2 linked regions of the Nothobranchius furzeri genome follow. The protein of the gene in region 1 interacts with the protein of each later gene in a pairwise test. Links are inferred from orthologs where the notes say so. Each region holds a gene or a part of one and is shown on either strand. Other genes may lie near its edges.

Region 1 (4,116 bases):
CGTTCATGTCCCCAAGTCATGTCCTGCATTCATGTCCCCAAGTCATGTCCTGCATTCATGTCCCCAAGTCATGTCCTGCATTCATGTCCCCAAGTCATGTCCTGTATTCATGTCCCCAAGTCATGTCCTGTATTCATGTCCCCAAGTCATGTCCTGCATTCATGTCCCCAAGTCATGTCCTGCGTTCATGTACCCAAGTCATGTCCTGCATTCATGTCCCCAAGTCATGTCCTGTATTCATGTCCCTAGGTCCTACGTTCATGTCCCCAGGTTCTACGTTCATGTCCCCAGGTCCTATGTTCATGTCCCCAGGTCCTACGTTCATGTCCCCAGGTCTTGTTTTCATGTCCCCAGGTCCTACGTTCATGTCCCTAGGTCCTACGTTCATGTCCCCAGGTCCTACGTTCATGTCCCCAGGTCTTGTTTTCATGTCCCCAGGTCCTACGTTCATGTCCCCATGTCTTGTTTTCATGTCCCCAGGTCCTACGTTCATGTCCCCAGGTCCTACGTTCATGTCCCTAGGTCCTACGTTCATGTCCCCAGGTCCTACGTTCATGTCCCCAGGTCTTGTTTTCATGTCCCCAGGTCCTACGTTCATGTCCCCAGGTCCTACGTTCATGTCCCCAGGTCTTGTTTTCATGTCCCCAGGTCCTACGTTCATGTCCCCAGGTCCTACGTTCATGTCCCCAGGTCTTGTTTTCATGTCCCCAGGTCCTACGTTCATGTCCCCAGGTCCTACGTTCATGTCCCCAGGTCTTGTTTTCATGTCCCCAGGTCCTACGTTCATGTCCCCAGGTCTTGTTTTCATGTCCCCAGGTCTTGCTTTCATGTCCCCAGGTCCTACGTTCATGTCCCCAGGTCCTACGTACATGTCCCCAGGTCGTGTCCTGCTGGGAGAACACATTAAACCAGGTCCGGGATCTGTTGAAGTCTGACTCACCCTTCAACTTCTTCTGTAGGGTGGAGTTTTCAGCCTGGAGGCGGAGCTGTTCTCCATTTACAGAGGTGGAGGAGGAGCTAGGATGTCGGCTGGGCGCAGAGGCTCCGCCTTCTTCCTTCAGAAGCTGGTTCTCCTGCTCTAGCTGCTCAATCTGCGTGCAGAGCTAGAAGAACGACAATGTTAAGAACATGCGAGACCTGAAGACACGTCAGGACACACAGAGACGCACCTTGGACAGCTCTGTCATCAGCGTGGTGTTCTGCAGCCTGAAGTCATCCTCCTGACTCAGCAGCTTTCCCTGCAGCATCTGGTTCTCACTGAGAAGAGCATCCACCTCCTGAAACACAAACCAGAGGAACTTCTGTTCTGGAGCTCTGGCTGATTAAATCTTGTCTGACCAGACTCAGATCCACCTGAACAGGTAGGACCACCTACTGCCCAGCCGAGATCCACAACCAACCAGGTGGAACTTACCTGAGCTTTTTTGCTCTTACTCAAAGCCTGAAGAAGAAACAAATGTAAAGATCAAGAGATGAAGAAGGTTCAAATCCAGCAGATCAGACCAAAGATCACTCGTCAATAAGAACTGGTCACCTTCTGGGCTTTGATCAGGTCTCGCTCCAGATTCCCATTCTTCTGACGAACGACGCTGAGCTCTGAAACGCAACCAGACCTTCTAACCACATCCCACGAGTTCTGGTGACACATCTGAACATTCAGCAGGTTCTTACCAGCCGTGGTCTTCCTGAGATCATCTGACAGCTGGTAGTTCTGCGTCCGAAGCTCCAGCAGCTGAGCCTGCAGAGTAAAACACACAAAGCTGCGTCTGAAACAAACAACAACAAACATCCGCCTGCTGGTTCATCTAAATGAATGAATGAATGCATTAATTAATTAATTAATTAATTAATGGATTAAAAACATTTGATATGAATCAAACAAATCACGCAGACTGAAGAGGTTCTGGTGCACCTGGGAGCATCAACAGATGTGATATAAACCTCAGTAATGACCTCTGTAACCATGACAACCAGCACAGAACAGCTGCAGTTTTTGGACCTGGAGAACATGATTTGCTTCTACTGAGTGAAACTCAGGTCCATGTAGACCCCGGATCCTCTGATGGACCCGTCTGGTTTCAGACCAGGTCCAGAACCTTCTGAACCGTCATCCTGCTGAATACGTGGAACCACTTGCTTCCTCTCAGGGACTCGCGGTGTTGACTAGATGCCTAACACAGGATGACGTCATATCATTTAGCTCATTGGATACTTGAACATCTCATGCACTGACAGATCAGCACCAAGTTACAGGGGACGCCAACACACCTGTAACACCTGCTGATCCCTGTGGTCCTCCCCGGAGACAGGACCCCCCCCACCCCACCCCCACCCACCCCCCCACACACACACACACCCTCCCGTGACCGTCATCACGAGCCCAGTGAAAGCTAACAAGAATAACGGTTAGCAACAGAAAGCTAACGACCGTTAATAAAACCGGTTTGTTCGGCTGACCCAACCTGTCCTCACTCCTTCACTGAGCCTGATGCCGCAGCTGGACTGACACCGAACCGATACCGGACACCGTTAAACTGCTCCTACTTCAGAGCTAATGAACAGGGTGCCGCACCTGACAGCGGCGCAGGTGTTTCAGCTATCTGCACCTGAACGAGCTGGGTTAAAAGAGCAGCCTCCATCTTACCTGCATCCGGTGAAACTCCTCCTCGGATAGAGCCTGCGACATCGCCATGTTTACCGGGCTGCCAGCTAGCAGGCTAGGCTAACGGGAGACAGAGCAGCTAGCTAGCAGAGAGGAGAGCAGCTAGGAGTGGCATGAGAGGGATGTGTCACTTTGATCTGTTTCCACAACCAGGAAAGAGACCACAGAATAGCGTAGAGGCGGACCACCATCTTGGATGGGTCCCCATTCGCCCCAGTGCTTTTGTTTCCACCCGAGGAAGGTGCTTGTCCAACTAAAAACACATTTTCTTATGTTTTTTCCCCTCAACTTCAGACATATAGTATTGCATGATGCTTAAAATATAAATATATGTAAACATAAAATCCCAAAAGGTAGGCTAGAGAAGTCACATGATCTAGACAGATGTCTCACTATGTTCTGTTTCCAGCGGAGACAGATGTCTCACTCTGGTCTGTTTCCACAAACAGGAAACATACACTGAGGAGACAGATGTCTCACTCTGATATGTTTCCACAAACAGGAAACATACACTGAGGAGACAGATGTCTCACTCTGATATGTTTCCACAAACAGGAAACATACACTGAGGAGACAGATGTCTCACTGATGCTTCTGCAGGTAGAATAGCAACAAAGGCAGATACAAATGACAGCTTTCCAATTGAAACTTTTTAAATTTTAAATTTAGGACCTTCAATTGTTCACCCAAACACAGTTGTATGAGGACGAGCATGACCACTGTCGGGAAGGATCTCCTGTGTTACAGCAGGTCTGAAGAAGCCTCCAGCTGAAGATGCTCTGTTGTTGCATGATGGTGCCATGAAAAGGATGCTCGGGGTTGTCCATTATTCTGACATAACATAACTCTGTGGACACACAACTGTGTCTCCAGCCAGAACAACACCGTCGTGATCAAAGGTGCCGACGATAACACCGTCCTGGGTCTGGCTACAGTGAAGAGAGGACCAACAATCACAACTTTCTAGGGGTGACTCTAGAAGGCGCTATATCAAATACAGGCCATTTACCATTTAGATTTGGTGACATCTTGTTATTTACCAGGCCAACGACCAGCCCTGTGGGCGTGAGACAGCTGCAGGCAGGTCCAGGTCTCTGCAACATGCACCTTCATTACACGGCTGATGTTTTATTTTTTGCATTTGTTGGCATAAAATTATGATTTGTTTAAAATTATCCGTTGCTCACCTCACCTGAATTTCCCTACATGCACAGTGGCGCTCTGATCAGCAGCCTCAGGACCCCGCTTCTCCTCCAGCTTCACTGGCTGCCAGTCAACTTCAGGGTTCATTTCAAGATCCTGGTTCTGGTCTATAGGGCCTTACATGGACAAGCACCATCTTACATTGGTGATCTTCTTAGTCCCTACACCCCCAGCAGGTCCCTGAGGTCCAGTGACCAAAGCCTACTGGTTGTGCAGCACCAGGCTAAAGGTCAAAGGTGACGGATCATCTG
Region 2 (4,105 bases), on another chromosome or scaffold:
ACATCAGGTAAACTATTCCTGAAAGTCACAGTGCTTAAGAAATATAAATCTATCCTGGAAAAACCTGACAAAGGACCATGAAAGTAGTTGTTTACAAAAGACTTGAGTGTTTCCTCTGTACCCAAATCAGTGAAAATGAATGGAGGGCAACCAAAACCTGAAATGCAATACAGCTGCATCATCAACTTTAGAGGCATTAACCTCTAGAATAATAGGGTTCAAACCCTCTGGCTTGAGCATCACTTCTAAAAAATGAAAGTTTATAGAAACTACTGTACATATTAGACAAGACCATTTCCCTGACAAGGTAGGATTAAAAGACTCGTGTGTTGTTTGCCAGTTCAGGGTTACTTCATACATTTTTTATTTTAAATGAGCCACTGCAAAACATGATTTATGAGTGATATAATAATTCATTACCTGTAAACAACTCACGTGTACAAAACGTGTTATTTTAGGAAAAACAAGTATAAGTTTCATTAGATATAAAATAAAAGTAGAACTTAAAATAGAGAAATTAGCAAATAATGCATTTTGAGGTTACGTTTCGTTTTTATACGAGTCAAATTACACAGGCGACTTTTCAACAACTGAAAGGTAAATTGAATAAACTGAGCACACATGAAAACAAAGAATGGACGCTAATACGGCTAACGGGGTCATTCGTGGACACAGGCTGAAGCATGAAGCAGTTTAAGGAGTGTGAATGTCACCTTTAAAGATTGCGCTCCTGGGGTGGCAGGATTACTATCGCAAGGTGGTCTAATGGGGAGCACAGTAGCCATATTTCGACAAAATAATGTTCCGCAGCTAGGCTAGTTCACTAGCTTGAGTCTGCGTTTCTTCTTCTATGGTAAAGCCTTCGGTTTAGAAAGCGAACTCTCCTGGCCTGGATCGGTGATAGAGGTGAAAAACGTTTTACTTTTAAATACCAAATATTCCGATCATGTATTAAAATCATGTGAAATCGGTTTTGGTCCTTTAACGCAAGGTTATCACAGCAGAACAATTTTTAAAATAGTTGTCTAGCTGCAGTCAGCCAATCACAGTGACCACTACTGCCGCCTACTGGTCAATACTTGCACGTATAATCCTTCAAGTTGACAACAATAATAAGTAATATATCTGGTCACTAATTATTACAATGTGGATGTTTCTTATTTGTGATTATTTTTTACATCTATAATAAATCATGATTTTAACGTTTCTGGAGACTTAATAACAGCTCCATAGTGAGGCGAAAACTATATAGTGCATCACAGTGTCGGTCATGGAAGGACTTTTACTTTGAAAGGAAGAACCTACGGGAAGTCGGAAGGAAAAATCAGCTGGAATGCACGGAAATTATCACTGGTGTATTCCTTTACTGAGCTAGCTGTGCATCTGTCAACTTTTATTCCTCCCTTCATTTTGCTTTTGGAATCAAACCGCCACATTGGCGATGTCGGAGTCTTACGGTAAGGAGTCTGCTTTAAACCGAGGCAACAGTTAACGGGTGCCTTCTGGTAGTCAGTGGTAAAGACGAGGCAGGTGTGCCCAGAAGGCGTTTTCTCATCGCAAAAAGATAGCCGACAGGCTAACCGTTTCACCACTCAAGGCTTCTGGCCTTAAAGCAGAGCTGTCAGTCAACTCAGATCATACATCTGGGTTTGATGTAGCTTTTCACACTGAATGTAACGGAGCTTTTGGGATTCTAATCAGAAGAACCGCTAGATACCAGGTAGGGGTAAAGAGGAGGACAGGGCTGGCATAAATTTGAGGCTGAACTGTTCAACTTTTTAAATAAATAACCATTTAATGCTCTCTTTATGTGTATATTTTACATTTGGATCATTCTAAATCTCACAGTAAAATATTATTGCAGCATACAAAATGAGTTGTTTACACCATAAACACAATGAACAAACCTGTGGTTAGTAAGCAGGTGTCCCTGCCTTTATAAACAAACCATCAGGTATTCATGTGTAATATATATCAGCTGGTTTATATCTCAGTTATAAAATAATCTTGATTCAAATAAGATTAGGATTAAGATGAGCTAGTGCCTATGAATGCCACATTAAGAGGGTCAAGCTGAGCTTATGTCTATTAAATGATTGTATTGTTCCCCTTGTAGATTTCCTGTTTAAATTCCTGGTAATTGGGAATGCTGGGACAGGAAAATCCTGTCTGCTGCACCAGTTCATAGAGAAAAGATGTAAGTTCTCTATTATTTCCACTTCTTTCACATTTTTTTTTTTGTGATTGATCATCTAAATGCCTGGCTAATTATTCAGGTTGATCATTTATTGTTTTGAGAAAAATCCACATTGGCTGTGTTTTATTTAGTGTTGGTGTAGTTTGTATGGAACAGTGGTTTTGATTTCTAAATTTAGATTTAATTTGCATTAGGCGGACTACACACTCACTCACGCACACATACTGTACAACAGGTCTGCTCGTGTAAAGTGACTAACATTGCATAACAGTACTTAAATGTCTGTTACATTTCTGAACATTTAGAATAAATCTCACACATTTGACACTTGTACAGAATAATTCTCTAGTTTTGTTTCTAATCCTGATTTATACATCCATTTTTTTCATCTATCCATTTATTGTTTCCAGTTAAAGATGAATCCAACCACACGATCGGAGTGGAGTTTGGCTCTAAGATCATCAGTGTGGTCAACAAAACAGTCAAACTGCAGATCTGGGACACAGCAGGACAAGAACGCTTTAGGTAGGGCAAAATCCCATCATTACTACATGTGGTATTTCATTTTTATAACAACTTCTGTACAAAATTAACCTTTTTTTGAATTGCTGATATCTTAAGTGAAGTATGTAGCATTTTTGTCTCGTTTGTGCATTGCTGGTGGCAAATTTAGCTCTACGGAAACTGTGTGTGTCTCAGGTCTGTGACCAGGAGCTACTACAGAGGCGCAGCGGGGGCCCTGCTTGTCTACGACATCACCAGGTATCACAGAACTCGGCTTTAGTTGTTGGTTTTCTAACTGTGCTCCAGACTTTAATCCGTGTCTGTCGCCGGCTGCAGTCGTGAAACGTACAACGCTCTGACCACGTGGCTGAGCGATGCCAGGATGTTAGCCAGTCAAAACATTGTCATCATCCTCTGCGGCAACAAGAAGGACCTGGATGCTGACAGGGAGGTCACGTTCCTGGAGGCGTCGCGCTTCGCTCAGGAGAACGGTGAGATCCACCAGAAGCGCCTCTGTTTCTTTGCCTTTTTCGAGCCACACACTGATTGTTTTTTTCTACAAAGAACTGTCAGTTGCTTCTGCTCTAATCAAAACATGTCTGTTAGAGCTGATGTTCCTGGAGACCAGCGCTCTCACGGGGGAGAACGTTGAAGAGGCTTTTGTCCAGTGCGCTCGGAAGATCCTCAACAAGATAGAATCAGGTAGGAGCTTGCTTAATAACCCTAAAAAGCTATTCCAGATCCCCTTTAGGTGCTCATCTGTTCACTGATCATATCTCGGGTTTTAGGAGAATTGGACCCAGAAAGGATGGGGTCAGGTATCCAGTATGGCGACGCCGCGTTACGACAGCTTCGTTCTCCTCGCCGCGCTCAGCCACAGGGCACACAGGAGTGTGGCTGCTAAGGGGCCTCGTGCATCTCACGCAGTCAAGGTACAGGAAAAAAATGTGAAGCGTTGGATGGTTTAGAGCCGTGCTCGATGGTCTCAGCAACATCTCTGACGTGATGTTTTTGTTACATAACAGAAACATCAAAAGTTGCATCTTTTATTGAAAAGTATTTGCTTTTTTATTATGTTGCTTTAAATTTCTTTATGTAATGACAGGGTTTTTTTTTTTTTTGAAGAGAAGAAGAAGAAGGACCATGGAGGACCAGACAGTGTTGGGTTCAGGTTGCTGTGCTGGTGACCCCTCCCTGACCTTTGCACGGACCCTTCAGAGCCTTTGTTATCACGTGTGCATGAGCAGAGAGCCGAGAAGACCTACGCCCAACTTCACAAGAACTTGAATCTCCATGGTAACCACAAACTCATCCGTCTCTGGCTCTACTGGACCACATTGTCCCTGACCAGGATGCCTAACCCTAGCCTGCATTATTATTATTATTACTACTTCTGTAATAGTT

What was found. The genes of interacting proteins can lie anywhere in the genome.
Region 2: the proteins of gripap1 (region 1) and rab4a interact in binary tests that used the Homo sapiens proteins (3 or more experiments, as listed by UniProt). The link is inferred for Nothobranchius furzeri from reciprocal best matches to the Homo sapiens genes GRIPAP1 and RAB4A.

Annotation. Positions count from the first base shown.
Region 1 is NC_091755.1:47,276,106-47,280,221, forward strand, and holds the start of gripap1 (GRIP1-associated protein 1), read right to left. Parts: upstream 2,801-4,116; 5' UTR 2,693-2,800; coding exon 2,645-2,692; intron 1,739-2,644; coding exon 1,672-1,738; intron 1,597-1,671; coding exon 1,535-1,596; intron 1,442-1,534; coding exon 1,415-1,441; intron 1,278-1,414; coding exon 1,170-1,277; intron 1,104-1,169; coding exon 941-1,103; intron 1-940. UniProt on the Homo sapiens protein: Regulates the endosomal recycling back to the neuronal plasma membrane, possibly by connecting early and late recycling endosomal domains and promoting segregation of recycling endosomes from early endosomal membranes.
Region 2 is NC_091749.1:34,752,852-34,756,956, forward strand, and holds the start of rab4a (ras-related protein Rab-4A), read left to right. Parts: upstream 1-1,305; 5' UTR 1,306-1,441; coding exon 1,442-1,457; intron 1,458-2,116; coding exon 2,117-2,197; intron 2,198-2,607; coding exon 2,608-2,722; intron 2,723-2,896; coding exon 2,897-2,959; intron 2,960-3,037; coding exon 3,038-3,192; intron 3,193-3,307; coding exon 3,308-3,403; intron 3,404-3,489; coding exon 3,490-3,605; 3' UTR 3,606-3,633; intron 3,634-3,806; exon of another isoform or gene 3,807-3,826; 3' UTR 3,827-4,105. Other genes in the region: phf10 (PHD finger protein 10), read right to left, coding at 714-785. UniProt on the Homo sapiens protein: The small GTPases Rab are key regulators of intracellular membrane trafficking, from the formation of transport vesicles to their fusion with membranes.